Linked DNA regions of Caenorhabditis elegans. The protein of the gene in region 2 interacts with the protein of the main gene of each other region in a pairwise test. Each region holds a gene or a part of one and is shown on either strand. Other genes may lie near its edges. The genes, in order: Y51H4A.8 and sax-2.

Region 1 (17,140 bases), on a different chromosome or scaffold from region 2:
TACTTAAAGTTCGTCATAATTATTTGAAAACATTGTGAAACATACAATTTTTTAACACTCAAAATGATATTATTTAATTTATATTCTATTTTTCAGTATCCGACGATTTTTTGCTTTAATTTACGCGAGAAAAGTTACCAAAAATGGATTAAACGGTCATAATTTCAGAAAAGTTGAATTCCAGAGCAAACTTTGGCTCTTTTTTGTCGAAATCTTTTGTGAAGCTTCATAATGAACATTACTTGGCGTTCAAAAGCATTATTTGAAAACATTATGAAACAGTCGATTTTTTCAAAAATTTTATAAAATTCTTTAAAACTTGTAGCGTTTATGGGTTCATCTGCATTTTTATTAATATGCTCTTAAAATTTTTTTTCTGATACATACGTGGATTTGATTGAACTTAATTACAGCTTGTATGGTACTTGTGTATTATTTCCCCTCATTTTTTGAAATAAATTTTTAAATAAAAACGTGTGGAGTTTTTGTATTTTTAGGCTTTGGAAATAACCATTTTCTAAGCCTAAAGATTGAAAATGGACATCACGTTTTATTAAATTTTATAATCGTTTTATAAATTCGTTTTATAAAATGGATAATATTAAAAGGTAAAGTATAAGTAAAGTTTGTAAGAATTGTGAAACAGGAGATTTTTTTTTTCAAAAAAAATAAAATTGAACATCTTTTTTTGGTTTTTTTATTATGTTTTTCCTAACGGACACATAAAGCCTTCTACAAAATGGTAAAATTACATTAGCTCTTGAAACAGGCAAAAATTTGAAATTTCAGTTAATTATTGAAAATTTGTTTCCTTTTTTTTAAGAGCTATTAAGTGGTGTTAATGAAATAGTCAAAAGTTTCAATTTTTCAAATCAGATCAATTTTCAATTTTTCATTAGGTTCTTTTTATATTAAAAATTGTTACAAAAATTGAAATAACAATGCCGTGAAACAGCGAATTATTTGATTATTTCAAGTAGAAATTGTGCTAAAACTTTATATTTTTCTCTGTTTCGAATAACTTTGAAGTATTTTCAATATTTTCTGTATTCAATTCTGCCAAAGCCAATTGGAAAAAACAATATGGAAACAAATAAAAATTATTGCTGTTAAATTAATATTATTTGAAATCCTTTGGGTTCTCCATGTATGAAAAATTAATTAGTGGGAGCACAAAATTCAAGTGAAAATTAATTGAGAAAAATCTATAGTTAAAAAATGTTAGATAAACCCAAAAAATCTAAAAGTGCGTAAAAACAAACAAAAAAATGTTTTCCTGTCTTAAGAATTCAATATATTTGTCATTTTGTTTTTTTTTATTCTAATATGATTTTCAAGATACTTTTCTCATCCAATCTATGTTGAGCTCTTTTCAGACTAAAATCTGGATTTCGAGCCGGGTCAAGCCAGGGCCTGAACCGTTTTTGATGTTTTTTTTCGGCTAGAAACGAATGTTTTCCCTTTCGTCGGGAAAATGTTTACAAAAGAAAAACGTTTACATAGGTTTCACTAAACTAACATCACGAATTTCTTAAAAAGGTGATAATGAAACAGTGAAAAATATTAATTTTCACAACCGGTACAACTTTTTGTTATCGCTTGTTTCAATACATTACAAAGTGTTTTTATTTTTAGTGCGTCTACTTTAAAACTATACTGATACATTTGTTGTTTGATAAAAAATAAACTGTTCCTAATGTGGAAATGTCTGACTGTTTCATTATCATGATTTAATAATTGTTTTATAAACTTGTGTAATAAGTCTTTTACTCCCGATTTTATTTTTTTCCCAATTTTTCATGAAAAACCCACAAAATCAGAAAAAAAATTTGTCATTTGTGAAACATTACTGATTTTAAAGTTAACCTATCTACTAGGGCTGTGCAACCGGACGTCCGGTTTTTTCGGACGTCCGAAAAACCGGACGCCGGACGCACCCAACGTCCGGTTTTTTCGGACGCGTGTGCGTCCGGGTCCGGAAAAACCGGACGCCGGACGCACACGCGTCCGGACACCGGACGTCCGAATTCGTCCGAATTCGTCTGATTGCACAGCCCTACTATCTACTAACGGCTTCATCTGAAAACTGGAAACTCTGCAATATTTTGGAAATACATTTTTAACATTTTTTTTAATTTCAGGGTTCCAAAATATGTTGAGTTCATCAATTGCGAATTCCTGTCGAAGTTTTTATTAATGAATTAATGAAATAATGAACATCTTAAGTGGTGTCAATGAAACTGACAAAAATTTGAATTTTCGAAATCAGATCAACTTTCAATTATATTTAATTCGTCATGATCCTTTTCTATTAAAAAAACTTTTCAAAAATTGATATAACAATGCCGGAAAACAGTGAAAAAGCATTTCAAGTAGAAGTTGTGCTAAAATTTTATATTTTTCTCTGTTTCGAATAACTTTCAAGTATTTTCAATTTTTTCTGTATTCAATTCTGCTAATGCCAATTGGAAAAAACAATATGGAAAAAATTAAAAATTATTGATGTTAAATTAATATTATTTGAAATCCTTTGGGTTCTCTATTTATGAAAAATGAATTAGTGGAAGCACAAAATTCAAGTGAAAATTAATTGAGAAAAACCTAGAATTAGAAAATGGTAAATAAACCCAAAAAGTCTAAAAGTGCGTAAAAACTAAAAAATTTGTTTACTGTCTCAAGAATTCAATCTATTTGTCAATTCGTTTTTTTTTCTAATATGATTTTCATGATACTTTTCTCGTCCGTTCAATGTTGAGCTATTTTCAGATTGAAACGTGGATTTTGAGCCCGGTCAAACCAGGATTTGAAGCATTTTTGATTTTTTTTCGGCTAGAAACGAATGTTTTCTTTTTCGCCGGGAAAATTTGTATAAAAGATAAACGTATAAACAAACTAACATCACGAAATTTTTAAAATCGTGATAATGAAACAGTGGAAAATATTAATTTTCACAGCCGGAAAAACCTTTTGTTATCCCCTGTTTCAATACATTACAAGTGTTTTTATTTTTAGTGCTCGATACAATAATCTACTTTAAAACTATACTGATAAATTTGTTGTTTGATAAAAATAAACTGTTCCTAATGTGGAAATATTTGACTGTTTCACTATCTCGATTTAATAATTGTAGTATATTTTTGTGTGATAGGTCCTCTCCTATATAAAAGTTTTATAAACTTGTGTAATCTGTCCTCAACTCGTTATTTTAATTTTTTTTTCCGATTTTTCAAAAAAAAATCCGACATATATCAGAAAAAATTATTTGTGAATTGTGAAAAATTACTGATTTTAAAGTTAACCTCTCTACGAACGGCTTCATCCAAAAACTGTAAACTCTGCAATATTTTGGAAATAAATTAAGAATGTTTTCAAAACTTCAGGGTTCGCTAAGTATAAGGAATACATCAATTGCGAATTAATGTCAAATTCTTTATCGGGGTGGTGAAACATTAGTGAAAATGGGATCAGATTTTTCAGATATTTAAAGAAAAATTAATACCTTGCTCCTTATTATTTTCAGCAAGTAAATAAATACCTGTAAAACCATATTTTGTTCCATTATAGAACATAGCCGCTCTAATTTTCATAAATATTAAATCGATTTAACCTCTAATTCTATATTCTGGGACGGAATCCAGATGTTTTTTTAGGTTACAATCTAAATTTTTAGACCAGGGTCTGAATTTTTTTGATGTTCTTGTTTCTAAAAAGTAATGTTTTTCTCTTTGCAAAGCGTGATCGAAATTTTTTTAATTAAAAATCAAAACTAGCAATGGAACGGAAGCAATGGAACTGATCGTGAAATTCTTAAAATGTTGATAATGAAACAGTAAAAAAATTTTTATAAATGATCAACTGCGAATCACTGGCTAAATCTTGAGAAGATAAAACATTAGTGATTGAATTTTCCTTATATTTTTGAAAAAAATAAATGACATGTTTCCGGAACTATGCATATTTGCAAAAATGGGGTTGGCATTTATTAATTAATGACGTGCTCCTTATATATTTTCAGCTAATAAATCCCTGTAAAACCATATTTCGCTCCATTACAGAACATAGCAGCTCTTATTTTCATAAACAATTAAATCGATTTAACCTTTAATTATATATTCTGGGACGGAATCCAGATGTTTTTTTTAGATTAAAATCTAAATTTTTAAGCCACGTTCAGCCAAGGCCTGAATATATTTTTTGTTTTTTTTGGCTGAAAACTAATGTTTTTACCTTTCCAATGATGAGAAAAATGAACTAACATCGTGAAACTCTTAAAATGTTGATAATGCAACAGTAAAGTTTATTTTGGCTAAATCTTGAGAAGATAAAAAATTAGTGATTGAATTTTCCTTATATTTTTAAAAAATAAATGTCGTGTTTCCGGAACTAAGCATATTTGCAAAAATGTGGTTGGAATTCATGTATTATCTTACTGTAAAGTTATAACTTCCCAGACAAAAAAATAAACAAAATAATCTTTTGAAAACTTGCGTGCATATAAGACGCAATACCTATTTTTTCTCAAAAATAAATTCCTGTTAAACCATATTGTCTAACATTACAGATTACATTACAGACCATTGCCAAACACATCCGCTCTTATTTTTATAAATATGAAATCTGCACTGCAACTTTTTTCGAACGAGGGACGAGGCAAAAAGGTTTCTAGGCTATGGCCGAGTCCCTGACAAATTTCAGCGGCCATTTATCTTGCTTTGTTTTCTGCGTGTTTTCTTTCGTTTTTCACCGATTTTTCCCGTTTTTTCTTATCAAAACTAATAAATAAATATTTTTTGCAGATGCTAAACCAATTTTCAAGTGAAAAAATTGTGAATTCAGTCGGCAAGTAGCGGTAAAAATGGTCAATGTAATATGATGGATTACGGGAATAAAAAACCCAAACTTTTTCCCAAACATGATACATATGCTGTTTAGATGCTAAAAGTACCTGATTTTCATAACGAGACCGCTGAAAAAGTTTTGAGGTTTTCAAAATTCAACTTTTTTGGTGTAGAGATTTTCACAAAAAAAGTTGAATTTTGAAAATCTCAAAACTTTTTCAGCGGTCTCGTTATGATAATCAGGTACTTTCAGCATCTAAACATCATATGTATCATGTTTGGGAAAAAGTTTGGGTTTTTTATTCCCGTAATCCATCATATTACATTGACCACTTTTACCGCTACTTGCCGACTGAATTCACAATTTTTTTCATCTGGAAATTATTTTAGCATTAACAAAAATATTTATTTATCAGTTTTAATAAGAAAACACGGGAAAAATCGGTGAAAAACACAAGAAAACAAAGCAAGTACAAAATGTCGTAAAATGCGGTGTATTGTGTGCAAACACCGATTTTTCGCATTTTTTCTCGGCCCTCGTTCGAAAAAAGTTGCAGTGATCTGGCATATCATTCAATACTGAATCAAAATAATGCACATCTTAAGTGATGTTAATGAAACAGTCAAAAATTTGAATTCTCAAAATCAGATCAACTTTTAATTTTTCGCTTTCAACGCCCATAAAAACTTTATGTTTCCCTGTTTCAAATAACGTTAAAGTATTTTCAACTTTTTCCGTATTCTATTCTGTACGGCCAGATCAAATCCCATGTTCAAACTTCAATACATGTAAAAAATTCTCGCTGTTAATATAATTTTATTTCAAATCCACAAAAAGAAAAAAAACCAATTAACCAACAGTAACAATAGGATCTGTATAAAACTGTGCTCCTCTCTTCGTCGTCAACTTGTCCGCCATCTGAGAAGCCAACATCTTCCACTGGCTCTCATAAATTGCAGAAATCGCGGTCACTTGAACGGTCAAAGGGACAACAAACGGACTTTTCGCGTATTTTCCATCGGTTCCAGCCTTCGCTGCACACTTATAGTAGACTGTGGATTGTTGTAGAACACCGTAACCCGCGGTGTCGGCGGTGCACTCGGTTACTGTAGTAAGTGTGACGTTTGGAGGCGAGAATGTGATGACTGGTGGGTTTATGTCGTTTAGGGGGATACTGTTGGCTTGCAATACGTCGTTGATCTGAATTTTTTGAATTTTTAAACTTTTTTGGTATTGTATAGTGTTTTTAGTGTTTTAGCGCTCTACTTGGTTCCATTATTATACAAGTTTTGAGCAGATAATTTTTTTTGGTTCGTATGGACAAATTTTAGCAAGCTCTCCGAAATATAATCTGGTAAATGAAATATTTGAAACAGTTTTTTTTTGATAATGGGTATAAATACTTTGTGGCTTATTTTGAAACTTAATGTTTCAGACTTATTTATCTTTAAAAAAGAATTCAAAAGATCGACAAACGAATTAATTTTATACAACCTGAAAAATGAAATATTTGAAACAGTTTTTTTTTATTGATAATGGGTATAAATATCAGGTTGTCCCATAAGTTTTTGTACTATTTTTTTTTTTGAAAAAAATTTATTTCTCTCAAGCGACAAGTAGTACTATTCACACAAGTATTCACCATTAGTGTCCACCACTTGTTGCCATTTACTAGGTAACATCATGATGCCACGGGAGAAGAAATCCGGCGAACGCGATGAGAAGAAAGTGGAGAGTTCAGTTTTGAGATGCTCTTCGTCGTCGAATTGCTTGTCGCGCATGTAGTCACTGAGAGACAAGAACAAATGGTAGTCGGTTGGTGCAAGATCTGGAGAATATGGTGGATGCGGTAAAACAGTCCAACCAAGATCTTGCAGCTTTTGGAAAGTCTTCTTGGCGACATGAGGCATAGCATTATCGTGAAGAAAATATAGTTTTTCATATTTTCCGTTGGTCTTTTCTGCAACTCGGTCCAATTGGGCACAATAGTAATCAGCAGTGATAGTTTTATTAGTTGGCAACAATTCCCAGTGCACGGGTCCTTGAACACCCCACCAGACACAGATCATTATCTTTTTTGGGTGAAGATCAGGCTTTGGCGTCGGTATTCCTTTCTCACCGATCGGAAGCCATTGACGTTTTCTGGAATGGTTAACATAGAGCACCCACTTCTCATCTCCAGTAACCAGATTGTTCAGCCAATCGAACTTTCGACGAAAAGTTAGAAGTTGAGTACAAACGTTGACCCGAGTGAGCTTCTGTGATGCCGAAAGTTCATGAGGCACCCAAATTCCAAGTTTTGAAGTAAAACCAAGGCGACCCAAGTGACGTGCAATTGTGCTATGACAACACTCAAGCTTCTCTTCCATTTCACGAAGACTAAGACGAGGCTCTTCCTCCACCAGCTTCACTAGGTCTTCTTCATTTAACTCTACCGGTCGCCCAGAACGTTCTATTTCTTCGAGACTGAAGTCGCCGTTCTTGAACTTTTGAAACCAACTCTTTGCTGTATTATAAGAGAGTGCTCCCTCACCCATCGCACCGCATATGTTTCGTTCCGCTTTCATTGCTGAATGACCAAGACGAAATTCATAAAGAAGAAGCAATCTAACGTCTCGACGTTCAAGTTTGATGATTGTCATCGTGGCAAAGTAGAAATGGATGAAATGAATCTTTTCTGGAAGGGGACGACCCGACCTTGACACGACCTACGATGAAAAAATTTTAAAACTTTCTAGAAGTTTTGGAAAAATATTTGAAAAAAAGTACAAAAACTTATGGGACAACCTGATACTTTGTGGTTTATTTCAAAAATTAATGTTTCAGATTGTTATCTCTAAAAAAAATAATTCAAAAGTGATAACAAAATAGATTTAGTGGTAGGTAGACACATCTCTAGGCTCTTCTCTTTCAGCATACTTTTTTCAGTCATTTCTCCGCTCAAAATGTGCGAACAACACAGCCATTTGCGGTAACGAAAACACCCCAACCAGCTCTCCGAAACCGGGCTGCGATGTCCGAGCGGTTAAGGAGTTGGACTTGAAATCCAATGGGCATTGCCCGCGTAGGTTCAAATCCTGCTCGCAGCGAATACTTTTTGGAAAATATTCCGAATTAAATCTACAGGCTTTTAAATAAATTTTTTAACTCATTGACCGCGCACCTAGTATGTCGCTTTTGAGTGATTTATCAGTTTCTAGGAGAGAACAGAATTATTTCGATTATTTGCAATTGGCTATATCAGTATAGTGAAACAGTGAGAATTTTTTGTGTTAACACAATGAAAATAGAAAGATTGTAATATAATCATGCATTTGTACTATAGAATATAACATGTTTCTACAAAATAAATTTTCAATAAAACGTAAAAATTTTATTTGTAAAAAAGTATGTTTTATAATATTCTTATTAGCTCACTGTTATCTTACTAGGGAGTGTTTCAACTCTACGGTGCCTAAAAAGTTATTATTATTGTTTTCGTCAAAAAAAAAATTGCCTCCGAATTTTATGGCCCACTTATGGGTTTTTTTTCAATTATTGTAGAGATTGGAATATGCTATACTTTTCTTTAAAAGTGGCAAAAACGTAGTAATTGGCACTTTTCGAAAAAAAAAAGAAAATTTCAATAAAATTTTTAATGTTTCAAAAGTATTTCATTAAACTTTTTATGAATCGCTTTTTATTGAATAGGCTGGCTTGATGGAAATTAAGAAAATATATGGCTTTTCATCAAAACTAGACTAGAATTTATAAAGCTTCTGAGAATTTCAAATTTTTTTCAAATAATAATGCAACCGTTAAACATTATGCGATGTGTTGCCATTTCACATTCTTTTATAAATTTGGCAAAATTATCCACCACCATAGTTGGACATTTAATAATTGGACTTTTAATAAATGCAATTATACGAACTCCAAAGAAAACTGTAGCTGTTCATAAAAATTTTGTGAAACAGTAGAAATTTTTTCTGTATTGGGATTTTTATTTAAAATTGCATTTAACTCACCGCACTCTGCACATCCGACACCACAACTCGCTGAGCATAGGCTTGATCAAACTGTCCGTTTTCAAATTCTGCTAGAGAATCATAGGTGTATAGAGCAGGAGGGTTCATTTCATAGCTGAATGTTCCCTTGGAGCCCAGCGTTCCGGTACCCGGAGCACAGGCTCCGGCTGTGGAGATGAAAAAGCAGAGGAGCAGTAGAATTTTAAGCATTTTGAAGGTTCAAATCACAAAAGTTAAAAGTGAAGTTTAAACCTTACCTCAATCCTTTTTTATACCGTTTCCTTAACCTTTGCCCCACAATAGCTTATGTTTGTTTCGATTTGCCAAAAATGTTTATATTTGTCATAGTTATGGCATCATTTTATTACTGATTGTTAACACTTTTTCTTGTGGGTGGGTGTGCCAACAGTAAGAATAGGTAAAGCATACTAAGCGGGGGTAAAAGGGAACTCGTAAAAATTTGAAACCCAAAGATCGAAAAATTGTCAAACAGCCGTTACTAAAATTTGTTTGAAGGCTGAAACTGAATTTTTTTTTTGTTGCAAATTTTGAAGATTTTGTTCCTGGATTCGATTTGAAAACTTTAAATACAATGAAAATCCAAAAATAGGTGGAGCCTATTATTGATTATACTTTTATCGGAAGCTTCTGGTTTAATTTTAAATTGTTTTACACGTTTGAAAGCGGATCACTATCAGAAATAGATCAAAATGTGATGAAAAGTTTTATACGCACGCGGTGAAACGGTAAATTTCGAAATTCAGATTTTTCGATTTCTTATCAATTTTTAAAGTCATTGATGGAGGAGTAGCGCCAGTGGGGATATCATTTAAAAAAACACTCCAAAAAACTCAAATTTTTTACAACTTCCAGTCAAAGTTTTGGCAAAAAAAATTGTAGGAAGTTTTTTTTTGATCGACTTATAAAATTATGAGTGGCAAAATTTGAGTAATAGTCACTTTTTACAGTGAATTTTTAAAAATCCAATTTTTTTTCAAAAAGTTTTACCTTTAAAAAAATGTAGATGCTTTCTTTTAAACCATTGTGTTACTATTAGATTTTTTTCCTATAACAAGACAGTTTTCTGTAAAAACCACCATAGTCACTATTCCAACTTAAGAGGTTTTGCTTACATTTGACTACTTCTGGCAGATATTAATTTCCTGGTTACGTTTCAATTTTTTTAATTACCAAAATACAATTTGAGCGTATGAATAAAACCCAATTTACAAAGAGTATAATAAAAGCATGTTGAAACAATAAAAATTTTAGAAAATTTTTTTTTTCCGAAAAGCGCCAATTATTAAGTTTTTGCCACTTTTAAAGAAAACTATCCCTAAAATAATTGAATATTACCGTTTGAAACATAAAATTCGGAGGAAAACATTTTTTTTTCAACGATTTCCAAATAAGTGCCTAACAGAATGGTTGCCATTTTTGAAATAAAATAAACAACATTTTCAAAAAAAGTTTTGAATAGTTTTACTTTTTTTGAATTTAATGTTTTAAATTAATTGTTTTGAATCATATCATTGAAATTTTAAGATCTTTCTCATGAAAAAGTTCTGAAATAATAACTAAAATATCAGTGACGCAATATAAATATTGTGAAACATAATTTTTATAAGTACAATTTTTCTGTAGAATTGTTGTATTCCATAGTACAAATCATGATTATATTTGCCTTACAACCATTCTCGCTACATTGTGTTAACACAAAAAATTTCTGACTGTGTCACTATGCTGATATAGGCAACTGCAAATAATCTGAATGGACACGATTTAAAAATATTTTTTATTTAAAACAATTTCAAATAACTGATAAATCGATTTAACGCAATAGGTTAATGTTCGGTGCGGTCACTACTCCAACTTAAGAGATTTTGCCCAAATTTGATTATTAGGTCGTTCAATAAGTTTTTTCGTTTTTTTCTAGTTTTGGTTTTTTCTTGGATAATATTTTGCGGTTGTATAGAAGACTGTTAGTAATAACAAGCCCAACAATATCAGCCATATCGGTCAACTTCCAGATTATTTAAAACTCAGAACTATGATGACGAAAAAAAAATTTTTTTTCGAATTTTTTCATTTCTTTGTGAAATCAAAAACTTTGTATGCGTAGAGGTATAAGACAGTTAGTTAAACAAAACTAAAACATTTCAGAACCAGGCATAGCTTATTGGTAGCGCTACATCTGTTGGAAGTGTCGAAAACGCTTGCAAAATTGACTTTTTCATGTTTGAGCGGTGCTAACTTTTAAACCATGAGAGATATACAAAAGTAATGTATCACAGCATTAATGTACACATCATCAGCTACATTTTATCAGTATGTTACATTGTTGTCCCTCCTCACGTTTCTGAGTTACAGTCGATAGAAATGAGCTTGGTCCAATTTTCAAAAAACCCTAATTTTTCACGTTTTCGCCTGTAACTCCGAAATCAGGTGCCTGATTAAAAAACTTCAAATTAAAAATAAAGTGATTTTAAATTATAATCAGGTACACAGTTGACCGTTTTGTCATATCATATGTGGGCAAAGATATGAACGGTCAACAAACAAAAAATGCATGATCGAAAAAATATAGAAAAATATTGCAAAAAACTGTTTTACTCTTTCCGAAAAGAACATGAGCGTTTAAAAACACATTTAATATTTTGATTACTAATTAGGCTATCATAATCAAAAAACAGTTAGAGGTTATCTTGTAAAAAAAACTGTTGGATTTTTTTTCGATGTTTTTTTTTGAAAATTTTCTAAAATTTCCGCAACTTTTCTTTGACAATTCATATCTTTGCCCACATATGAGATATGACAAAACGGTCAACTGTGAACCCGATTATAATTTAAAATCACTTAATTTTTAATTTGAAGTTTTTAATTAGACGCCTGATTTCGGAGTTACAGGCGAAAACGTGAAAATTAGGGTTTTTTGAAAATTGGACCAAGCTCACTTCTATCAACTGTAACTCAGAAACGTGAGGAGGGACAACAATGTAACATACTGATAAAATGTAGCTGATGATGTGTACATTAATGTTGTAATACATTACTTTTGTATATCTCTCATGGTTTAAAAGTTAGCACTGCTTAAACATAAAAAAGTCAATTTTGCAAGCGTTTTAGGCACTTTAAACAGATGTAGCGCTACCAATAAGCTATGCCTGAGTCTGAAATTTTTCAGTTTTGTTTAACTAACTGTCTTATACCTCTACGCATACAAAGTATTTGATTTCACAAAGAAATGAAAAAATTCGAAAAAAAATTTTTTTTTTTCGTCATCATAGTTCTGAGTTTTAAATAATCTGGAAGTTGACCGATATGGCTGATATTGTTGGGCTTGTCATTACTAACAGTCTTCTGTACAACCGCAAAATAATATCCAAGAAAAAACCAAAACTAGAAAAAAACGAAAAAACTTATTGAACGACCTAATAATTATGCCAGATATTAATTTCCTGGTTTTGTTTCTACTCATGATACAAAATATTATCAACAAAAGATAAAGGGTACATCCAAAAATCAAAAGATCGAAATATTGCCAAACAACCGTTACAAAAATTTGTTTGAAAAGATTTTTTCACAGAACATTCGATTGGAAAACTTCAAAAACAAAGAAAGCCCAGAAAAAGGCGGAGCCTATTATCAATTTTATTTTTAAAGGAAGCTTTCAAATTAATTTTTATATGTTGCTAATGTATGCAAAAAGATCATTGACGAAATCGGAAGAAAATTTTTATACACACGCGGTCAAACAGTGAATTTCTCGACAAATTTAATCACCAATTTTCAACGTAATTAATTAATTTTTAAAAAGTTAATAACACGAAAAACACACAATTAACCAAATAAAAGTTGCATTCCAATTTTTTTTTGGTCGGAAAATGAAAAAAAAAGTGATTAAAGTTGCAGTAGCGCCAGTGAAGAAATCATTTTAAAAAACTCTGAAAAAATTCAATTTTTTCAGAACTTCCAGTCAAAGTTTTGGTAAAATGCCAAATTTTTGAAAAAATATGCGTTTTGGGGAGATCCAAAATTTTTCGACCCCCAGAAAGTATCAATACAAAATTAAGGTATGCAAAAATCGTAGGAAAATTTTTTTTGGTCGACTTCCAAATCATTATTTTTATGTAACAAGACGTCTTCTGTATATTACCAACAAAAGATAAAGAGTATAATAAAAAAATGTTGAAACATTCAGAATTCAATTGTGACGCCTTTGGTCCCAAAATGACCAAACATCATAGTGAACCTTTTAAAAAACAATATTTAACTTTTTTGCCACTTTTTGAGAAGACTTTGTGTAGTATGATCGAATCCCTATAACAGTTGAATGTAACTATTTGAAACAGCAGTAGACCACTAAATTCAAAGAATTTTTCAAATGAAAAAGTGACAAAACCTGGGTGGTGATAGAGGCTTTTCGAAACACAAATAATTAATGAAAATTTAAAAAATTTTCTAAACATTTTGAGATCTTAACGTGAGCTAATAAGAATATTATAAAACATACTTTTTTACAAATAAAATTTTTACGTTTTATTGAAAATTTATTTTGTAGAAATTTGTGTTCCATAGTACAAATGCATGATTATATTTGCCTTACAACCATTCTCGCTACATTGTGTTAACACAAAAAATTTCTGACTGTTTCACTATGCTGATATAGGCAATTGAACATAATCTGAATGTTTTTGACACGCTATAAAAATGTTTTTGACACGCTATAAAATTCAAAATAACTGATAAATCAATCAAAAGCAATAGGTAAAAGTTCGGTGCGGACACTATTCCAACTTAAAAGATTTTGCTCAAATTTGGCTACTTATGCCAGATATTGATTTCCTGGTTTTGTTTCCAATCATATTACAAATATATTATCAACAAAAGATAAAGATTATAATATAAACATGCTGAAACAGTAAACATACAATTCACTGCGGATCTGGGATTCAGGTACACTGCCTGGTGGTGCTCCTACTGGAATATAATATAAGCCACGTCTTAGCCGAGGACTGTGGCCGAATGAAAATTTTATTGACAAAATCATTGTTAATTAATTGTCTTAAAGTAGATTCTAAACAACAACAATAATAACTAAGATAATAGTGAGCTAATAAGAATATTATAAAACAAACTTTATTTATATGTAAAAATTCTTTTTGCCAAATTTTGTATTCTATAGTACAAATTCATTATTATATCAGCCTTACCATGTTCCTTGCTACATTGTGTTAACACACAAAAATTCTCACTGTTTCACTATGCTGATACAAGCAATTGCAAATAATCAAAATGTTTTTGCACGGTTTCGTATTAAAGCTCAAATTTACTGATAAATCACTCAAAAGCAAAATACTAGGTGCACGTTCAATGAGATACAAAATTTATTTAAAAACCTGTAGATTTAATTTGGAATATTTTCCAAAAAGTATTCGCTGCGAGCAGGATTTGAACCTACGCGGGCAATGCCCATTGGATTTCAAGTCCAACTCCTTAACCGCTCGGACATCGCAGCCCGGTTTCGGAGAGCTGGTTGGGGTGTTTTCGTTACCGCAAATGGCTGTGTTGTTCGCACATTTTGAGCGGAGAAATGACTGAAAAAAGTATGCTGAAAGAGAAGAGCCTAGAGATGTGTCTACCTACCACTAAATCTATTTTGTTATCTCTTTTAAATCCTTTTTTAGAGATATAACAATCTGAAAGATTATTTCCGGAATAAACCACAAAGAATTTATACCCATTATCAATAAAAAAACTGTTTCAAATATTTCGTTTAACAGATTATATAAAATTAATTCGTTTTTCGATCTTTTTTTCAGCATGCTCAGAAATGTTTATTTTTAGCAGCTCGCGCATTTTTAAGATTAATAAAAAAGTGTTAAACCATGATATTTGATAAATTCAATTATATTCAATTATACACCAAACAATAAAACTGGCTAATTTTAAAATGTAGTATTTTTAACTAATGGAAAAAGGTGGAGATTACTTTTTCAAAAATATGAAAATTTTATATAATGTCACTGAAACAGTAATTTTTGTAATTTCGAATCTTTTACTTTTCAACTTAAAAATAAATTCAAAATTAATTAAATTATAACCTAAAAGGAGGAAAATAAATATTTGCATTCCCTTGTTCCAGTTTGATATCCGTATTCTGCGCTACCTTCTCTAAAATCTGGTGAATTTTTTATTATCCACATATTTTATTGTCTCTGGTTTTGCATTTAACCCCTATTTGTCCCCTTTTTGTTTTTCACTCGGGGATATACATTATTTCTTTTTTTTTCATATTTAATCAATAAAAACCGTATTCAAGGAATAAACGTTTCGAAAAAAGAGAGGTAGTAATATGAAGCCATTGATACAAAATTATAACAACTTGACGAAACAGTCAAATTTTTTTGCAAATTAAAAAATTTTTAATCGTTTTTTCTCAGTTTTTTTAATTCAAAAACGTTTTTCTCCTTTATAAAAAGTTTTTAAAAGTATATTTTCATTCAAAAAATCAAACTTTATTTATTTCAAAACTGAAAACTAAGAAAATCATCCAATTTATATTGTTTCTATGTAAAAACTTCAACCGAACATTAACAATGTATAATTTTAAACATTTTCAAAACATTACCAATTATCCCGATAAAAAATCATAAAAATGAATTCAAAATCTAACAAAGGTATGGAAATCAAAAAAAAATTTCAAAAAATGTTTGCTGTTTCAAATTTTCAATATTGTTTTGCTAAAATTTGTTTGAAATTTTCTTTTTTTTTCGTCTGTGTTATGTTGTTTTCTAATTGTAGTGATTTTTAAAAGTGTTGACACGCGATATTTTATAAATTCAATTGTATTTTAACACCAATAATGCCGGCTAATGTTAATATGTATAGTTTTCAATTTCTGAACTGAATCACTTTTTCAAAAATATAGAAATTTCATATAATGTCACTGAAATAGTAATTTTTTTTTGTAATTGTGTTTCTTTTACTTTTGAAAGAAACCATATTAATGTAACATTTTTCATCGAAACTCCCAGAGGAGTTAATTTTTAAAAACGGAAAATAAATTTTCGTTCAAGAAATAATGGAGCAAAACCAAGAAATTTCCAAACTAGGGTTTTTTTCAGCGGAAAAATCATTACCTATATATAAAAAAATAATTCCGTTTGTTCCGTAGTTTGTAGTCTGTGACGTCATAGCTTACAAAGGCAAGGCGTTTTCGGCTGTTGGAGGGATATTAGTTTGGGGTTAGTAGTGGGATATGGCCGGGGTACTGTAGTAGTACTGTAGAGGTACTGTAGGAGTACTGTAGGATTACTGTAGTTTAGGAAAAAATGAGTTTTTGTCTTTTGAAGAGATATAGGTTTGAGGTTAGTAGTGGGATATGGTCGGGGTACTGTAGTAGTACTGTAGAGGTACTGTAGGAGTACTGTAGGATTACTGTAGTTTAGGAAAAATTGAGTTTTTGTCTTTTGAAGAGATATAGGTTTGAGGTTAGTGGTGGGATATGATCGGGGTACTGTAGTAGTACTGTAGAGATACTGTAGGAGTACTATAGGATTACTGTAGTTTGGGAAAAATTGACTTTCCGTCTTTGGAAGGGAAATTGGAAACTTCGGGAAAATTTTGGAATGTTCCAGAACCTTCTGGAAAATTCTGAAAGCTCTAGAACCTTCTGAAAAATTCGAGAAAATTCTGGAATGTTCTAGAACCTTTTGGAAAATTCGAGAAAACTCTGGAATGTTCTAGAACCTTCTGGAAAATTAGAAAAAAAATTCTGGAATTTTCTAGAACCTTCTGGGAAATTAGAAAAAAAATTCTGGAAAGTTCGAGAAAATTCTGGAATGTTCTAGAACCTTCTGGAAAATTCGAAAAAAAATTCTGGAATTTTCTAGAACCTTCTGGAAAATTTGAGAAAATTCTGGAATGTTCTAGAAGCTTCTGAAAAATTCGAGAAAATTCTGGAATGTTCTAGAACCTTCTGGAAAATTCGAGAAAATTCTGGAATGTTCTAGAACCTTCTGGAAAATTCGAGAAAATTCGTGAAAATTCTGGAATTGTTGTGGTGAGACCTATCGTGCTGAAACCCATTGTGGTGAGACCCTTAAAAATTTGGGCGGGAAATTCAAAATTTATGAGAACATTTTTTTGAGGGAAATTCAAGTTTTCTGAGTAACTATTTTTGTTTTAGTACCTCCTGGATGTTTCAAGAACTGGAAAATTCGGGAAAATTCTGGAATGTTCTAGAACCTCTGTAGGACTTTTTCTTTGTTTTGCTACAGCAATGTTCAAAG
Region 2 (16,256 bases):
TTTTTTTTAAAAAGAATCACAAAAATGCCTCAAATTGGTTCTGTGAAGCTTCAAAGATCACAAATTGTCATCTAATTTGAATTTCGCGCGAAAATGAGTTTTCTATGATACTCGACCGTGTACTCCTCTCGGACAATTAACGAATTAAACTTTTAGATTTTAGACGATTAAAAAAAATGTTTTAGATTTTTTCCATCAGCAAAACGAAAATGATCATATATCCATTTATTTATTTTGAAGCAAAAAGCCGTGCAAAATCATCAAAAACAACCTAAAATCATAAAAATTAATTGATTAATTACCCGAAAGAGGTAAACGGCTGAGTATCAATCTCAAATTCGACTATACCACATTAAAGAAGGAGTTTTTAAAATTAATATAAAAATCTTGCCGCAGAGAGAAAATTTTTTAATACTTTTTTCAGAAGTTCTGAATCTGGTTTCACTGCCGTTAAATGCCAAACCCGTGCCAATCCCAATTGCGTCTTCAGTAATAGCACCCAATTATGCAACTGCGCCACCGATTGTGAGTTTTTTTTTCTAAAAATGTTTTTTTTTCGAATTCTCAAATTTTCAGGCTCTGACAGACCCGAACGTCGCTTCAATTGGACACGGAAAAGCTGGATTTTCTACGCCTCATCCGAATGAAATTCCAATTGAACTAAGACAGTATGTTATTTTAAAAAAAAAACCTTTATTTTAAATATATCTATTTTTTCAGTTCCAAACCAGACATGATTGCTCCAATTCCAGATGAGCTAAGAAATCTTGGGTATGTCCAATTGTATTGAAATTTCTTAACAAAAATTGTTTTCAGTGCCGTTCCAGTTGTTACTTCGATTCCTACAATTCCTAATGAGTTCCTACCTCCGTAAGTGAAATTTCAATTTAAAAAAGTCTCTACAACAAACATTTTTCAGAGAACAACGAATTCTTGGATCGTTACCACTCACTTTTGTTCGTAAGTTTTCCGTGTGAAATATTGAAGAAAAAACTAATTTTTCTCCAAATTAAGGTCCTCCGATGCGGAAATCCCTGTTTCTCTCTGGTGCAAGATCAGGAAAACGATGTGACAGAATTAAAATGCAGAGAAAGAAGGATAAAAAGGAAGTAAAATTGGAAAAGAAGCTGGAAAAGAAGTCAGAGGATGTAAGATATTTTTAAAAATTTCAGAAATGTAGTGATTTTGCTTTGAATTGCACAAAATGACTACAATATTACAAAGAAAAATGTTTTTTAAAAAAGTATATGAGAAGTTTTGGTTCAAAAATGTCGAAAAATCCATTGAGTGGGGAATGTTCATTCGGAAAAAAAAATATAATGACCGATTGTGCAATTTTAGGCCTTTTGTCAAAAAAAAATTTCAGTCTCTGGAATCAGTGGAAAAACGGCCCCGTGGCGGACATAGAGGTCGAGCTGGTGCAGGCAGATCAAGCTTTGAAGCAACAGGAATGAATGCTCTTCCTCAAGGACTCAACAAGAATTCTCCGCTTGCTGTTAAACGTTATCATGCTCGTCAACTTGCCAAAGAAACTGGAATGACATTGGAAGAAGCTATGGAAGAAATTGAAGAACAATGTAATGCATTTGGAGGTGAAGATACTCCAGAAGCAATTGAACACGATACAAAACTTATGGAAATGATTAAGAAACGAGGTGATGAACATTGGAATCAACGACATAATTATACACCTGTTGATCATTCGAAAGGAATTCCTGGAGTCGATAGACCACCTGGTGGTAATAGGGATCGTGGTGAAAAGGTTCGGAGCAAGTCGCCAGTTACAGGAGTTGATAGACCACCAGGTGGAGACAGAATTGAACGAAGTAGGGATCGAGAACCGGGTGGTGGTGTTCCTGGGGTTGATCGGGCGCCAGGCAGAGGATCTCGTGGAATCGATCGCCCACCTGGAGGTGATTCTCGTGGTGTTGATCGACCACCTGGAGGTGGAGGAATTCCTGGAGTAGATCGGCCACCAGGAGGTGGAAGGCGCGGAGTTGATAGACCACCAGGATCTGGAATGCCTGGAATCGATCGGCCACCTGGAGGGGATCGAATGGGTGATAAGCAAAGAAGAGGAGCGAGAGGAGGTGTTAAGGAAAGAGAAAGAAAACGAAGAAGTAAGTTTATTCAACCTTTATTCCACGAAAATTCGAAATCCTTATGTTTTTTTTTAAATATTTTTAAATAACGCTTTATTTTTCAGGAGATGAATTCCAGCGAGGAGGTGGTGGTGGTGGCCGAGGCGGTGGCCGTGATGGTGGAAGAGATTATGGTGGTCCTCCGCAAAAATCTGGGCGACGTGATCGATATGATGATTAGTGAGTTCAGCAATGAGCAGAGATATAAAACACATTGAGAAAGTATACGAAAGCCCCTTTTTCTCAGCTATCTCGGAAAGTAACTTTACTTTCAATTGAAATTTTCGAAAATTTGCTCTAAAACTGACTCAAATAATGCCGATCGACACTTCACGACTTTGAGGCAGTTTGTCAAAAACTTCTCGAAGCCTTCAATTAAACATAAAAAAGTATTTGTGACTATTCGCGTTTCGAAACCCCAAAAAAATTTCAATTTTTCAAAATCTCGATTTCAGCGATCGATCGTATCAAGGAACAAGTGGATATGGACAAGATTATGATTCACAAACATATGGAGAACGTGGTTACGATGGACATTATCAAGGACAAGAGGATTATTATGGAAGGTAATAAAATTAAATATTTTAAAATGAAATTAATTAAATTTAATAAACGTTTCAGTCAAGAAGGATATGGAGAATATAATCAGCAACACTACGGTGAAGGATACGATCAACAAGGATATGGGCAAAATGGAGATTCATATTATGGACATGAAGGGTAAGGAAAATCACTTTTTTAATTGTTTGAATTGTATTTTTATTCAAAAATAATTACCTATTTTCAGCCAAGATGCATCGACATATTACCAAGAAGATGGCAGTCAATACTACAATCAATACTACGGTACTGCTCCTGCAGAAGGTGAAGCTTCAGCTGTAACTGGAACGGATTATCATGCAACATTCAGTGTACCACCACCACCGGCTCCCCCTCCGTCATAAATTTAAGAATTGGGAAAACTAAATATTTTTGAATCAAAAAACTTCCTTTTTCAATATTTTCTTCAATTCTTTCCCGATTTCTTTCAATTTCAATAGTTGACTTTTATTTATTTTTAATTTATAAAATTTCTTATATTCTTCTTCCTCCTTCTATTGTATGAATATTAAAAACAGGTCCTTCGACCCGAAAAATCCCCTTCTCAAATCTAGGTCATCATATCGGAGATAACGGACAATTATGCATAATATTCGAGATGATTATCATATCGGTCATATGAGGGGGCGGAGTCTCGCATACAGTAGTCCTTTGTCCTTGTGCGAGGGAGTTTATGAGTATAAAAGGGTCCCTGAGAGAGGAGAAATGGACACTTTTATCAAAACATTTTCCATCTTTGTTTATTTTGACGATATTTATTCGCTGATACGAATTTTTGCAATTTTTATCCCGGATACCGTATTTCTTGGCAATTCAGATTACGCGCAAATTCTAGAATAAACATGTTTTCCAGATCATGTCAGTGTTCGCGGGATATGCCGCGTGCACCCTCGGTGCCGTTTCGATGCTTCTCTGCGTCTCTCTTGTCCCACAAGTCTATCAGCAAGTCTCGATGCTCCGGGACGAGTTGACGACTGAAATGGAGGCATGGCGTCTCGAGTCCGATCAAATCTACATGGATATGCAGAAGTTCGGACGTGTCCGTCGTCAAGCCGGAGGATACGGTGGATATGGTGGATACGGTAGCGGACCATCTGGACCATCCGGACCATCTGGACCACACGGTGGATTCCCAGGAGGCCCACAAGGACACTTCCCAGGAAATACTGGATCATCGAACACCCCAACTCTTCCAGGAGTTATTGGAGTTCCACCATCAGTTACTGGACATCCAGGAGGAAGCCCAATCAACCCAGATGGATCCCCATCTGGTAAGTATAGAAAAAATAGTCCAAAGATCTTATATAAATTGAACATTTACAGCTGGACCAGGAGACAAGTGCAATTGCAACACCGAAAACTCATGCCCAGCTGGACCAGCCGGACCAAAGGGAACTCCAGGACATGATGGACCAGATGGAATTCCAGGAGTTCCAGGAGTTGACGGAGAAGATGCTGATGATGCCAAGGCTCAGACTCAACAATACGATGGATGCTTCACTTGCCCAGCTGGACCACAAGGACCACCAGGATCCCAAGGAAAGCCAGGAGCCCGTGGAATGCGTGGAGCCCGTGGACAAGCCGCTATGCCAGGAAGAGACGGATCCCCAGGAATGCCCGGATCTTTGGGACCAATTGGACCACCAGGAGCCGCTGGAGAAGAAGGACCAACTGGAGAGCCAGGAGCCGATGTTGAACACCAAATCGGACTTCCAGGAGCCAAGGGAACTCCAGGAGCACCAGGAGAGTCTGGAGATCAAGGAGAGCAAGGAGATCGTGGAGCAACTGGAATTGCTGGACCACCAGGAGAGCGTGGACCACAGGGAGAGAAGGGAGATGATGGACCAAATGGAGCCGCTGGAAGTCCAGGAGAGGAAGGAGAGCCAGGACAAGATGCTCAATATTGTCCATGCCCACAGAGAAACACCAACGCCGCTGTCTCTGGAAACCAAGGATACAGAAACTAATTTCACATTATTATTTGTGATTTGTGTTGTTGAAGAAAATAAATTATTTTATTCTCATAACTTTTTTCAATCGAAGGATGTTTTCAGAGAAGCATGTTATCCTAGTTCAGATAATCTCAAGAAATAGGCTTACTATAACAGAAAAAGTTAACTGAATTGCAAACATTTTCAGATAGTAGAAATATAATCAAAACACTTCCAAGCTTTGAAATAGAATACTAAAATATTAAAAAAAAAAACACCCTATTTCCCCAACGAAAATGTTTTGTTACTATTTAATTGAACGATTGTGAACCTATTTTACAAAAAAAGCATTTTGATCTACCAGTTGAACTCAACATATATTTATTTTCAAAAGAATTTCAAAAGATAGATCAAAATAGTTTATCTGAGTTTTTTCATTAATTTTTCCCATGAAAACAGATTCAATACTTGCGAGCATCCTTCTTGTCTCTCTTTCAATGATGCCCGACAAGACACACAGAAACTGTTTCTTTCTCTGCCGTCTCTTATGTATAGAGTGTCCCGAACAGCTGTTTGGAAACGATGGCCGAGTCTGAATGGCCTTGTCTTTTTCTCTTCTCGGCCAGTTTATCGAGTTTATTGGTACCCAGTTGAAATATTGTTTTAGTGATTCTTCAATATCAATATTTGCGTTCAAAAGTTAAATTAGCTCAACTCTCAATTTTCTAAAATCTCTTATGTCCTTCATCACCTCCATTTCCTATTACTTTCCAATATGTTTCTTTGTTTTCGACTCATTTTTATATATTGGATTTCGTTAAAGAAAATTAGAAAATTATCAAAAAACAAAATGTTTCACAAAAATATAGTTTTGTATTTTGATTTTTATGAAAATTGAACGAAATTTCAGAATTTTTGATAAATTTATATTCTTAGTTTCGACACAATCTAATTAAAGTCTAATTTTAAAAAAACCAATTTTTTTTTCAAGTGAGTTGAACCAGACACTTTATAAAAAAGATCAGAAATTTTACTACAATTAACTTACTGTATTTCTTGCGCACATCACTACTTAACTTGAAATTAATAAAAGGTACATTGAATCAATTTTCAAATAAAAAAGTTAGGTTTTTATGCTCGCTTTCATGAAAAATCGTTTGTAAATGTTATTTATTTTAATTATCATTGGCTAAACAAAAATTTTCAGAAACTTAAAAATTCTTGCCAATTTTTGATTTTTCTCTCTATTTCTCTCTCTCTCTCTACGTTTTCATTATTTTCCCATTTTTACAGATGAGCTCAATTGTAAAAAAAGGACGCCTGGGGCGTCGAAAAAGCGATCCGGGGACTTTGACTGTTCGATCTACTGCTGATAAGTCCGTTTTTTTCACAATTGATTTTTTTGGACGTAGAAGTCAATATGAAATTATTATTTATAGAATTGCGACATGTGAACTACCATGGGGAGGAACTAGAATGGTAACACTTGGACCACTGGAGTTAACCCAAATGAGTGGACCATTTGTTGGACAAGCTTCTCTCATGGATCTTTTCAATATATTCGAACGAAAATTGCATATTGTGACTGAAGAAGAACCACTTGAGAAGATGTTGAACAAGACATTGCAACGTGGTGGTGATCTATATTTTGATAATTTATGTCATACACTTCATGGATTATCCGAAATTTGTTTGCCGCCAATTTTGAAAGTTTTGGTTGAATGGTATGAGAAGTATGATGAGTCGTTGTGTTTATCTATGCTATCACCTATTGCTACGTAAGTTTTTTTTTGTGTAAAGTTGTTGAAGCAGAACAAAAATTTAATGAAAACAGAAATCATTTCACATGATGCATCAAAACTTATTCACCGCATGTAATTTACCATCCTTGATATTACGCAGTGGCGAAATTTTGGAATTTCACACGAACTAAAAAATTTTCAAATCAGGTCCACGAAAAAATGTGCGCGCCTTTGAAAACTACAGTAACCCATTCTTCGTATTTTTGCTACTCAAATTCAAAAAAAAGCAAAACAAAAGTGTATGGATTACTGTAGTTCTGTAAAGGTGTACCTTTTTGAGCAACCTGATTTTGGAAATACTTTTTCTCGTGGCGAAATCGGGTACCATATTTGTTTTGTAAAAAAATTGCACTATTTCGCGAAATATTACAGTTACTTGTTGGTTGAAAGTATACCTAATCGTGTCAGATTGGTTGCAAAAAAATTTTAAAAATTCAACTTATATGCTCTCGCAAATGTCTTACTTTTTTCAGGCCGGAACTTCGTCTGAAACTCCATAAAAAGTTATTGGCAGTGAATTATTTATTCTGTCTCGTACTTATTGAAATTCTTCCACAAGTTGAATTCCATCTTCCTCAATGTGATCCACTTATCAAGAAAGTTCTAGAGATTTGCTTCAAAAATGTACAGTACAGAGAACCGTAAGTTTTTAGTTTTTGATTTTAATTTTAATTTTAAAATGTAATAATTACAGATCGGCAGTTGGAATCAATAAAACAAATCATTTAGTAGTTGCTGAAACTTATGGAGAAGTCGTTGGAGTTCTTTCCAGTACATACTTCACTCATATTCATAGGTGAAATTTGATTTTCAATAAAGTTATTTTAATAATTTTAATATATTTTCAGAATTTTCATGACCCACATCACAGAGCTCAAAAAAGACGTTTCACAGACTGCTGCACAACAAATTGTAGCACTTATAATGTCGATGAAATTTCTTCGAATAAACTCGAGTCAAGTGGAAGATTTTGAGAATGGATTGAAATTTTTGGATGATTTGGGAAGTTTACTGCTGGAAGTGAAGGATAAGGATGTCAAGCATGCAGTCATGGGTCTATTGGTTGAGATCTTGTTACCGGTTGCAGCGGTAAGAACTGTTTTTTTCTTGGATTTATGTAAATATAACTTACTAGTTATAAACTATTAAGCCTACAGTATCCCGGTAGCATTCATACAGTTATTCAACTCATTTTCGTTATAAAAACGTTGAAACGAGTTTCAAATTACGCTACAGTACCACTGGTTTGAAAATTTCCTGACAAACTTTAGCAACTTTCTGGCAATATTTTTACAACTTTCTGCTTCCTACTAGCTGATCACTTATTTAGGAAGCGTTTTGTCAAGTTACTGCCAAGACGTTGCTCCAAAATAATTACGCGATATGTGCATCGTGCGTCCAAAATTATGCGAGGTTCCTAATGGACATATCGCAATTCAACTATGTGAATAGACAAAAGTAATGATTGAAATTTCAGCAAATCAAGCGAGAAACTAACATTCCTGCTTTGATTTCTCTTGTTCAAAAATTGTACACTACTACGAACGATATGATTTCAAAAAAGCAGCATAAGCTTGTAAGTTTACTTTTTTATTAAATAAAGTTTTAAAATTTCAATATTTTCAGGCAGCATTTCCACTGATCACGTGTCTTCTTTGTGTCAGCCAAAAGCATTTTTTCCTCGCAAACTGGGTACAATTCTTGAATTCGTGTTTGTCTCATCTTAAAAATAAGGATCCTCAAGTGGCAAGAGTTGCGTTGGAGAGCTTATATAGACTTTTATGGTTGGTTATAAAATGATCTTATTTCTATTTGCAATGTTTAATTACAGGGTATATATGATTAGAAACAATGCAGATGGAAATGCAGCAACACGATCTCGACTCGACTCGATTTGTGGTAGCTTGTTCCCGAAAGGAAATCGATATATTGGTTAGAAATTTGAAAAGGGAATAAATGGGAAAAATAATTGGTTAACAGCCAATCAGAAATGTTACCGATGCCCCTACACTTTTCTGATTGGTTGTTCAATTTGGGAAATTTAAATATAATTTTAAACACAATATGCTATTACGTTTGAACGAATTAGCAAACGATAATATTTTCAGTGCCTCGTGATGCTCCACTCAACATTTTCGTCAAAATCATTCATTTTATTTCGCAGCAAAAATTGGATTTTGCATTCAAGGTGAGTTTTTCTTTATTATTTCAAGAGTTTATATGACGTCCAAGACAATAGAGAATATAATCTGAAGTTGCAAATTAATGATCAAGAAATTAGGAAGCCTCTAGAAAAGTTTAAGTTTTACTTTATAGCTTTCTACAAGTTAGTCATTTTTTGCACTGAGACTGACAGTTAATTTAATAAAATTAAACTCGCCTTCTGGAGCAAGCCAAAATTGTTTCATTTTTCAGGAAATAATCTTTGATCTCCTATGTGTCAACAATCGAACACAAAGATCCTTGTATGCGGAACGAATGAACGTCGGAATTCGTGCACTGATGGTCATTGCAGACGGTCTTCAACAGAAGGATGATCCACCAGCAATGCCAAAATCAATGGGACCATCTGCAAGTGGAACTGTGCACAAGACAAAAAGAAAACAATACATCACAAGACCATTAACAAATGAAATTTCAAAGTGAGTTTTGGGAGAAAAAACATTTAAAAAAGAAGGGAATGGAAAAGAAGACAATTGGGAAGGGGAAGGGAAATCATTTTCCGTCAATAAAAATGTTCCCAATTTTTGTTTTATTATCAAATTTGCATATCGCTTCTGCTCTTGTTTTCTTTCCTGATTTTTAGACAAAGAACCCAATGCCGTAGTACTAGTATTAAAATTTTAAAACTCAAACACAGTTTAAAAAGATCGCAAGAAAATAGTAATAATACTTTTGTCACCTCTTATCACGAGTGGTCAGAATTGTTTGCGATGGGCGGGCCTAACACATGACAGCTAGAAGTTACGGTATCAATGAATCATAGGTTAACGACAAAGTGAATATGATCCTTTTTCTTGTAATAAAACAACATTATTATCAGTTTTTGAGCAAATAATACCTGGTTAATAACTATATTTTGTTTTTCACTTATCTTGGCACCTCTCTCACCTTCCTATCACTTTCTTATCACATTCTAACACATCATTAAACGAAACTGTTCACCAAATAATTGAATTCGTAAAATGTTCAACATTTTTCAGATCGATCGGAATTGATCAATTCTATCCACAGTGCCGAAAGGCTTTCGATAGTATTCTCCGCCTTCTGGACACACAAATCGGCAAACCACTCATGATGTCTTCGATTCAAAATCGTGGAAAAGAGCCAGATGAGTTGATTAGTGGAGATGCAAAGCCAAAGCTTGATCTGTTCCGAACTTGTATTGCTGCGATTCCAAGACTTCTTCCTGATCCGATGAGTCATGTGGTAAGCCTCGATAGTGAAGAAAAAGTTTCCAAAACTCAGTATTTCAGGATTTGATCGATCTCCTTACTCGCCTTACAGTTCATCTCGATGAAGAGCTTCGTAACATGTCTGGAATCACACTTCAAACAATTATCGGAGAATTTCCTGATTGGAGAGAACAAGTGTTTATCAGTCACATCTCGCTCATTCAATCTCATATTTATGATTTCTTTCCACAAATTTTGGATGATTCCCTTCGTTTGATGCTCCAATCTTTGACAACATGGAAAACTGCAATCACTGCCGAAAAGAAGCGAGAAGCCGAGAAAATTATTCCGACAAGTCCGCCAAGTTGTCACTCAAGTCATGTGACAAGTAATAGTACCCACAGTACTCACATCTCGGTCAGCTTCCCCAATACTGTCACATCAGCATCTTCGATTCTTTCCAATTCATCATCACCACATCAACCAACACCTTCACTGTGTTCTTTACCAGAATCTTCATCTCTTCATTCAATTCCAACTGCAATGACATCACTTTCAACAACAACTACTCCAACTCATTCACAAGGTGCTCCATCAACATCTACTCCAATCGGAGGTAGTGGTAACAGTACCTTGTCGGTTTTGCATCAAATGGAAGGATTGGCCATTGTGTATCTATGTCAGACTCGATCAAATCCACGTGCTATCGCTGTCAAGATTTTGAAAGAAATTCAACTGATCTATGATCTTCTTGGAATCGAGATGATTGATACACCGGTCATTGATGTGCTCGACCAGGCAACTCCATATGTTGTGAAAAAGTATATCGAACACGTGCCTATCAAAGAACGAATGTCATGGAATATGGACTTTTCGTCGGTTTGTGATAAGATCTCGACGATCGAAACGGACAATACTTTGGTGAACAGTGATCGTGGAAACGAGTACTTCCAATGGGATCCGTGGGGTTGTGCACTTTCGGGTTATGCAGAGATAAAGCACTTGCTCACAAAATGCCCAAGTGCAGTTGCTGCAGCGTGGCCAATACTTTTCTCGAGATTAAATGCAGTTTCAGGATATGTTGATCCGAAGTGAGCTTAATAAACAATATTTCATGCTTAAAAATATCCATGCCTGCCTGCCTACCTGACTATTTTTTGAAATGTACAGAGTTACGGATTTTTCATTTTCAATTTCTTGAAAGTGAATAGAAATTAAAAAAGAAGTTCACTTGTACCTTGGCAGGCGTAAGTCGCTTTGGAGGAATGTAGGCAGCCATTTTATACCTACCCATAAATGTCTATAAATATCAAACTAATATTCTATTGTTACAGTAACCCACAAAACGAAAGTCGTTCATCTCTTCTCCGTGGGTCAAAAAGTAAAGGAACTTCATCGATTCTCGGCGAGCAACTTGGACAAGAAGCATGTCTTGCTCTCTGGCAAAAATATCTCATTATGTGCTGCGCTTTGGCTCCGGCTCCATACAATCTCTCACAGCGAAGCTTCAGTCCAACCAACTCAATGGATGGTCCAGTTGATGTGTTTCGATCTGTGTCTGCGTCACTCAGATCTTCAAGAACTCCAGTTCCAAACTCATTATCTCAATTGATTTCAAAAGTTTGTATGATTTTGAGATGGGAAAACTTGACTGACATTCGTGATAGTGTTGTACTTGGAGTTGGTTCTATCAATCCACTCGCCTTTGATATGATGCTTGAAGAGTTAAAATCAAATGGGATCCTTCGAGAAGCTACAGAAAAGAAGGCAGAGACAAATTTACGAAGAAGAAAGCGAAAGGATTTATTGAGACTTCAAATTATTCGAGTAATTGAAGTTGCCATATTTCGAGGACTTTTATTAGTTCATTCGGCTGGAAGTTCAGATTTCATTCTACATCCACATGTTGTTGATTTTATTGATTCGATGAGGGTCAATTTGGAGAGCGATCATGTAAGTGGAGACCTTATTGGGATTCATGATCAAAAACATTTCAGGATCGGGACATCACAGTTGTTACAAAACTCCGTCTTCACTTTGCCAAACTGATTCATCTGATCATTGACTCAACTCCACATCTGTCTAGACACAGTATGCATCTCAATTTGACATAGTTTCCCTTACTTTTGTGTTTCAGCTCTCTTTTCGGATGAACGTCGTCATAAGCTCTTCTATCTCTTCATTAACTGGTGCTCACGTGCAATTGCCGCTGATCGGAAGTTCCGTGACAAAGAAGTCGGTTCATATGTTGAACAGAAATCTGTTCTTGCAATGTCTCGTATTCTATGTTGTGGACCTATTTTTGAACCAGCGAAATCAATTGGCGAAGATGGATATTTATATGGATGGCTTGAAAAGTTGATCATCTCGACGAATCCAACGATGCAGGCAGAAGTTGAAGAAATGTTGGCATGGATGTTGGAGTTGAACGAGTCTGGAGTTTTATTGGATTGGTTGATGATGCAGTGTTATACTCAGGTATCGTCATATCTTTTTTTTCTATTTTATTTTAAAAAAAAAATTAAATTTTCAGCCACCTACTGTCGCATGCCGATGCTTCAGAGCTCTAGTTCGAGTGTTCTCACGTCGTGACTTCCCCTGTGAATTTGTCTCCCTATTCGTTCTGTGCCAATCTATGCTCGCAGTCAACTCAGTCACCGATTGTGCTCTTCACATGATCGAGATTCTAAGGAAGCAGTTTTTGGAAACATCAAATATTCATGCAACGTCTCCAGCTCAACAAGTCACTCCCATTGTGCAAATGAGAAATCAAGCCGATGTTCTGACGGTGGGATTTAATTTTAATTTGAAAGTTTTGAAAAATAAACTTCTAAAATTTCAGAATATCTACAACGGTTGCCATATCCTACCAATCGAGCAACACGATGTTTGTACCCGACTCGCCAACTCGTATCCTCATTTGACAGTCACAATATTCAGTGAAGTCTCATACCGTCTTGAGACTGAAAGCTGCTCAAACAAGTCACAACTCTTGGCACTTCTTCAGCCATGGATTTCCAATTTAGAACTTGTTGATCAGAATGTTGTCGAAGAAGCTGCTGAAGGACCAAGAGGATGGGGATCAGAAGAAGCGACTCAATTGGTGTTGAACAATTTACTCTACTTGACAGTCACATTATCCAATGATCATGAGAAGGAACTTGCTGAAGTATGGAAAACATTGGCAATCTCTTTCCCTGCAAATCTCCCTGCAATTCTCAATTTCTTCTACACTACAACACTTCTTTCACAGGAGTCACTTCTCCCATTCACCAAAAGAATTTGTGTAATGATGTCACAAGTTGTCGGCACTCGAATCTCATCGATTCTGCTGGAATGGCTCAGCACGGTGCATGATAGCTCAAAAATCACACTGGATCGAAGTGAAATTCCACCGTATTATCGATGGAAAGATGAGAATTCTGAACGAAAAGCTAATGAAGGATCCATTGCCAGAGACTCATTGGAACGGGAAGAACCAACTAAAGAAGGAGTTCGATTGCTGCCGATGCCAGCTTATGGAGGTCACTACTCACCACTCAGCCAGTTCTTGCCTCCTGTTGTTCAGCCAGTGCAGTTTTTCAACAAGTAAGTAATTTGGAAGCCCAGAACTAGGCACTCAAGTTTAGTCTATGAATGCTTCAGCTTCTGCCAATCTTTTGCCCTCGTCTTATGTATGTCGTTTGGAACAATGCTAGAATTTGATCAAACTATTATATCCATACATAAGCGAGACCTAATCCGAGTTTTCCAACTTCTGAACAAAGTGTTTTTTGCGAGAGCGTTCAACAAAAAGTAGTTATTAACTGAAATCAAATAAGCCTATTCCTATGTATAGACATTTGTTTTTTTTTCAGAAGTGAAGTAGGTCTTCTCTTGGTCTGTGATATCATAAGAACTCGATGCTCGGTGGATTGGTCTGAATCAATGGCTCTACTTCTTCATTTCTCAATTCTTCGATTAGATTCTCTACGTCCTGCTCTCTGCCGTCATGCTCGCCAAACTATAATCAATGTGATCATGCTTTACATGGAGAAGAACCAGCTGGCACTGGTCTCCTCAATTCTTTTGAAAAACGAGATGATCTACGGAACAGAGACCAGTCCAATCATCGGAGAAATAGCTGTCGGAGTCTGTCGTGGAGAGTCTCCCAGTTTTGCCAGAGCTACTGCCGATGAGTATAGGAAGATGATCTTTGCGAGTCCATCGCTTTTCTCACAGAATGATCTTCTATCGGCAGTGGTGTTTTGTATGAGTGAAGAGTGCGTTTTTCATTTCAGAAAATCAATGATTTTGGTTTAAAATATAATTTTCAGAATGGATACTCCATTTTGGGCAAATGAAGATGCAAATTCTCGAAATTGGAGAGTCCCAAGCTTTGAGCAACTCTCGTGTACTGTACATCACATTGTGAGACTTTTGATCAACAAGATGCCAATGATTGAAGTTATTTGGACACAACTAGCCATGAAAATGGCACTTTCCACATCGAACCGCCATTTAGCTGGACGATGCTTCCAAATTGTTTCAGCACTTGAGCAACCTCCGGGTCCATGGATCCCATCGTTAATGTCCAGATTGGTGGAAACTGCTGGAGAGCAACATGATGAAACGCAGTCTTATGTCACGGATCTTATGTTGTGCTTAACGGACTGCTCTCCTTATATTTCACCGGTAAGTTGAATTGGAAAAAGTACACTAAAAGATACTTTACCCCAGAAGCTTTACAATTATATTATTGGAAAAATTATTAATATTCCATTTAAATAATTTTTCAATTGACTATACTCTAGTTTGAAATTAAACATTCGATTCAAATATATAAAAGCTGCAGACAATAATGGAAGCAATCGAAATGCGTCAAGTGATATCACCAACTCATATGCGTTCCACATCATACACACCTGCATTCGTTCGTCAATCAGTCATCTATTCACGTGTTCAACAATCTGATAAAAAGAGTGAGCTTTTTTTTCAATTCAGATTATTCTAATCATTTTTCTGGAGACTTTTTAGATGCTCGTCTATCACTGTTGGTTGCTGATCAAGAGTCATGGGCTTCAAAGTCGCCAGACGCACTTGTCCGGAGCAAAAGTGCAGAGCAGTTGCAGAGTGAGAATGATGTTAATGAGGTTTGTTGATCGACTTTAAATCCTAATTATACTACGCCCTCAAGACGATCACAAAAATAGACCTTTTTTTCAAAACTAGTATCATTGAATTGATTTCATAATTTAGGAAACAATGTCCCGAATGCAAATTCTTGCGATTGCTGTTAGTATGATGGAAAGTGGAATTGAAAATGAGTTCCTATTGGCTCTGAATCTTTTGAATAAAGTGCTCGATGTGCCAACTTCTCAAAAAGTTCAATGTCTCGCAAAGTACGATAAAATGGTTGGGCAACTCGAATGGAAGAATTTCAATGGAATTATCTCGCTTATTACTAGAGGTGGGCCTTATTTCTATATTTATTCAACTGTTCGAGCCTTTGAGCCTTTGAAAGACTTGCCTTAAAATCCCCCGGCAGTATTCCTTTTTTGATTGTTTTTTCGTTAGTTTTGTTAACTTTTCCTCCGTGTCACCTGTCCGTTCGCATCACTTCACAAATCAAAAGGTGGACAGATCGAACTGCTTGATAATGTCAGTTTGTGGGTAGGAAATGGTCGAACTTTTTCACTCACTCGGCGACGAACGGTTTGATTTTAAATGACGATAATGATGATGATGTCGGAGAATTTGAGAAAAAGAAGAAGGACGCCACCTCTCTTTACTTTTTTATGGCTTCTTCATTTAATGACACTGGTCACTGACAGCCAATGTTGCGAAAATGAAGAATGCATTAAAAAAGAGTGAAAAGAGTTGGATTACGGTAGATGAAATTGATTATGAGGTGGAGAAGGAATTGGAGCGGATAAATTACGGATATTCTCTTTTTCTGAAATACAAAAAATAGACGATCAAACATTATGAGAAATTCTGAACAAGGATTTAGAAAAATCGCTTTTAGCTCTTGAAATCATTCGATATATATTCAAAATGGACCAGAAAAACAATATCTGAATTTAAAAAATTATAATCGAATTTAGAGTTTTCAAAATTCTCAATCAAAGTTTCAATCAGAGCAAAGTTTTGACAAATTGCCAAATGTTCTAAAATTTGGATTTTTTCAGTTTAAAATTGTTCATAAAAGTTTATTTAAGTATTGCATGGTCAAACCCCAAGTTTTTTGCTATTGATATTTTTTTCAATCAATTTTATATATCTTAATTATTTTGAATCTATTCTCATTTCAGGTGCAATCATTCCAACTGCCTATGAATCATCAATTCAAGCAATGATCCAATTGAGTGATGTTCTTTCTGAAGAAGTCGTTGGTGGACCAAATGG

What was found.
Region 1: the proteins of sax-2 (region 2) and Y51H4A.8 interact in a two-hybrid assay, tested with the Caenorhabditis elegans proteins (one large-scale study listed by BioGRID).

The regions. Positions count from the first base shown.
Region 1 is NC_003282.8:16,569,460-16,586,599, forward strand, and holds Y51H4A.8 (DUF4136 domain-containing protein), read right to left. Parts: upstream 9,091-17,140; 5' UTR 9,057-9,090; coding exon 8,847-9,056; intron 8,751-8,846; exon of another isoform or gene 8,730-8,750; intron 8,544-8,729; exon of another isoform or gene 8,522-8,543; intron 8,299-8,521; exon of another isoform or gene 8,275-8,298; intron 8,052-8,274; exon of another isoform or gene 8,030-8,051; intron 7,929-8,029; exon of another isoform or gene 7,847-7,928; intron 6,314-7,846; exon of another isoform or gene 6,293-6,313; intron 6,170-6,292; exon of another isoform or gene 6,149-6,169; intron 6,040-6,148; coding exon 5,689-6,039; 3' UTR 5,635-5,688; downstream 1-5,634.
Region 2 is NC_003281.10:5,103,736-5,119,991, forward strand, and holds the start of sax-2 (MOR2-PAG1_N domain-containing protein), read left to right. Parts: upstream 1-5,965; coding exon 5,966-6,048; intron 6,049-6,111; coding exon 6,112-6,450; intron 6,451-6,947; coding exon 6,948-7,115; intron 7,116-7,168; coding exon 7,169-7,270; intron 7,271-7,322; coding exon 7,323-7,563; intron 7,564-7,951; coding exon 7,952-8,050; intron 8,051-8,100; coding exon 8,101-8,258; intron 8,259-8,305; coding exon 8,306-8,406; intron 8,407-8,582; coding exon 8,583-8,662; intron 8,663-8,889; coding exon 8,890-9,116; intron 9,117-9,677; coding exon 9,678-9,903; intron 9,904-9,950; coding exon 9,951-10,960; intron 10,961-11,203; coding exon 11,204-11,822; intron 11,823-11,866; coding exon 11,867-11,960; intron 11,961-12,006; coding exon 12,007-12,347; intron 12,348-12,402; coding exon 12,403-12,657; intron 12,658-12,711; coding exon 12,712-13,038; intron 13,039-13,122; coding exon 13,123-13,457; intron 13,458-13,726; coding exon 13,727-14,131; intron 14,132-14,185; coding exon 14,186-14,543; and 8 more. Other genes in the region: F54D8.6 (C2H2-type domain-containing protein), read left to right, coding at 425-525, 577-668, 721-771, 817-870, 920-960, 1,015-1,148, 1,367-2,120, 2,207-2,321 and 3 more; Cuticle collagen dpy-17, read left to right, coding at 3,598-4,012, 4,065-4,708.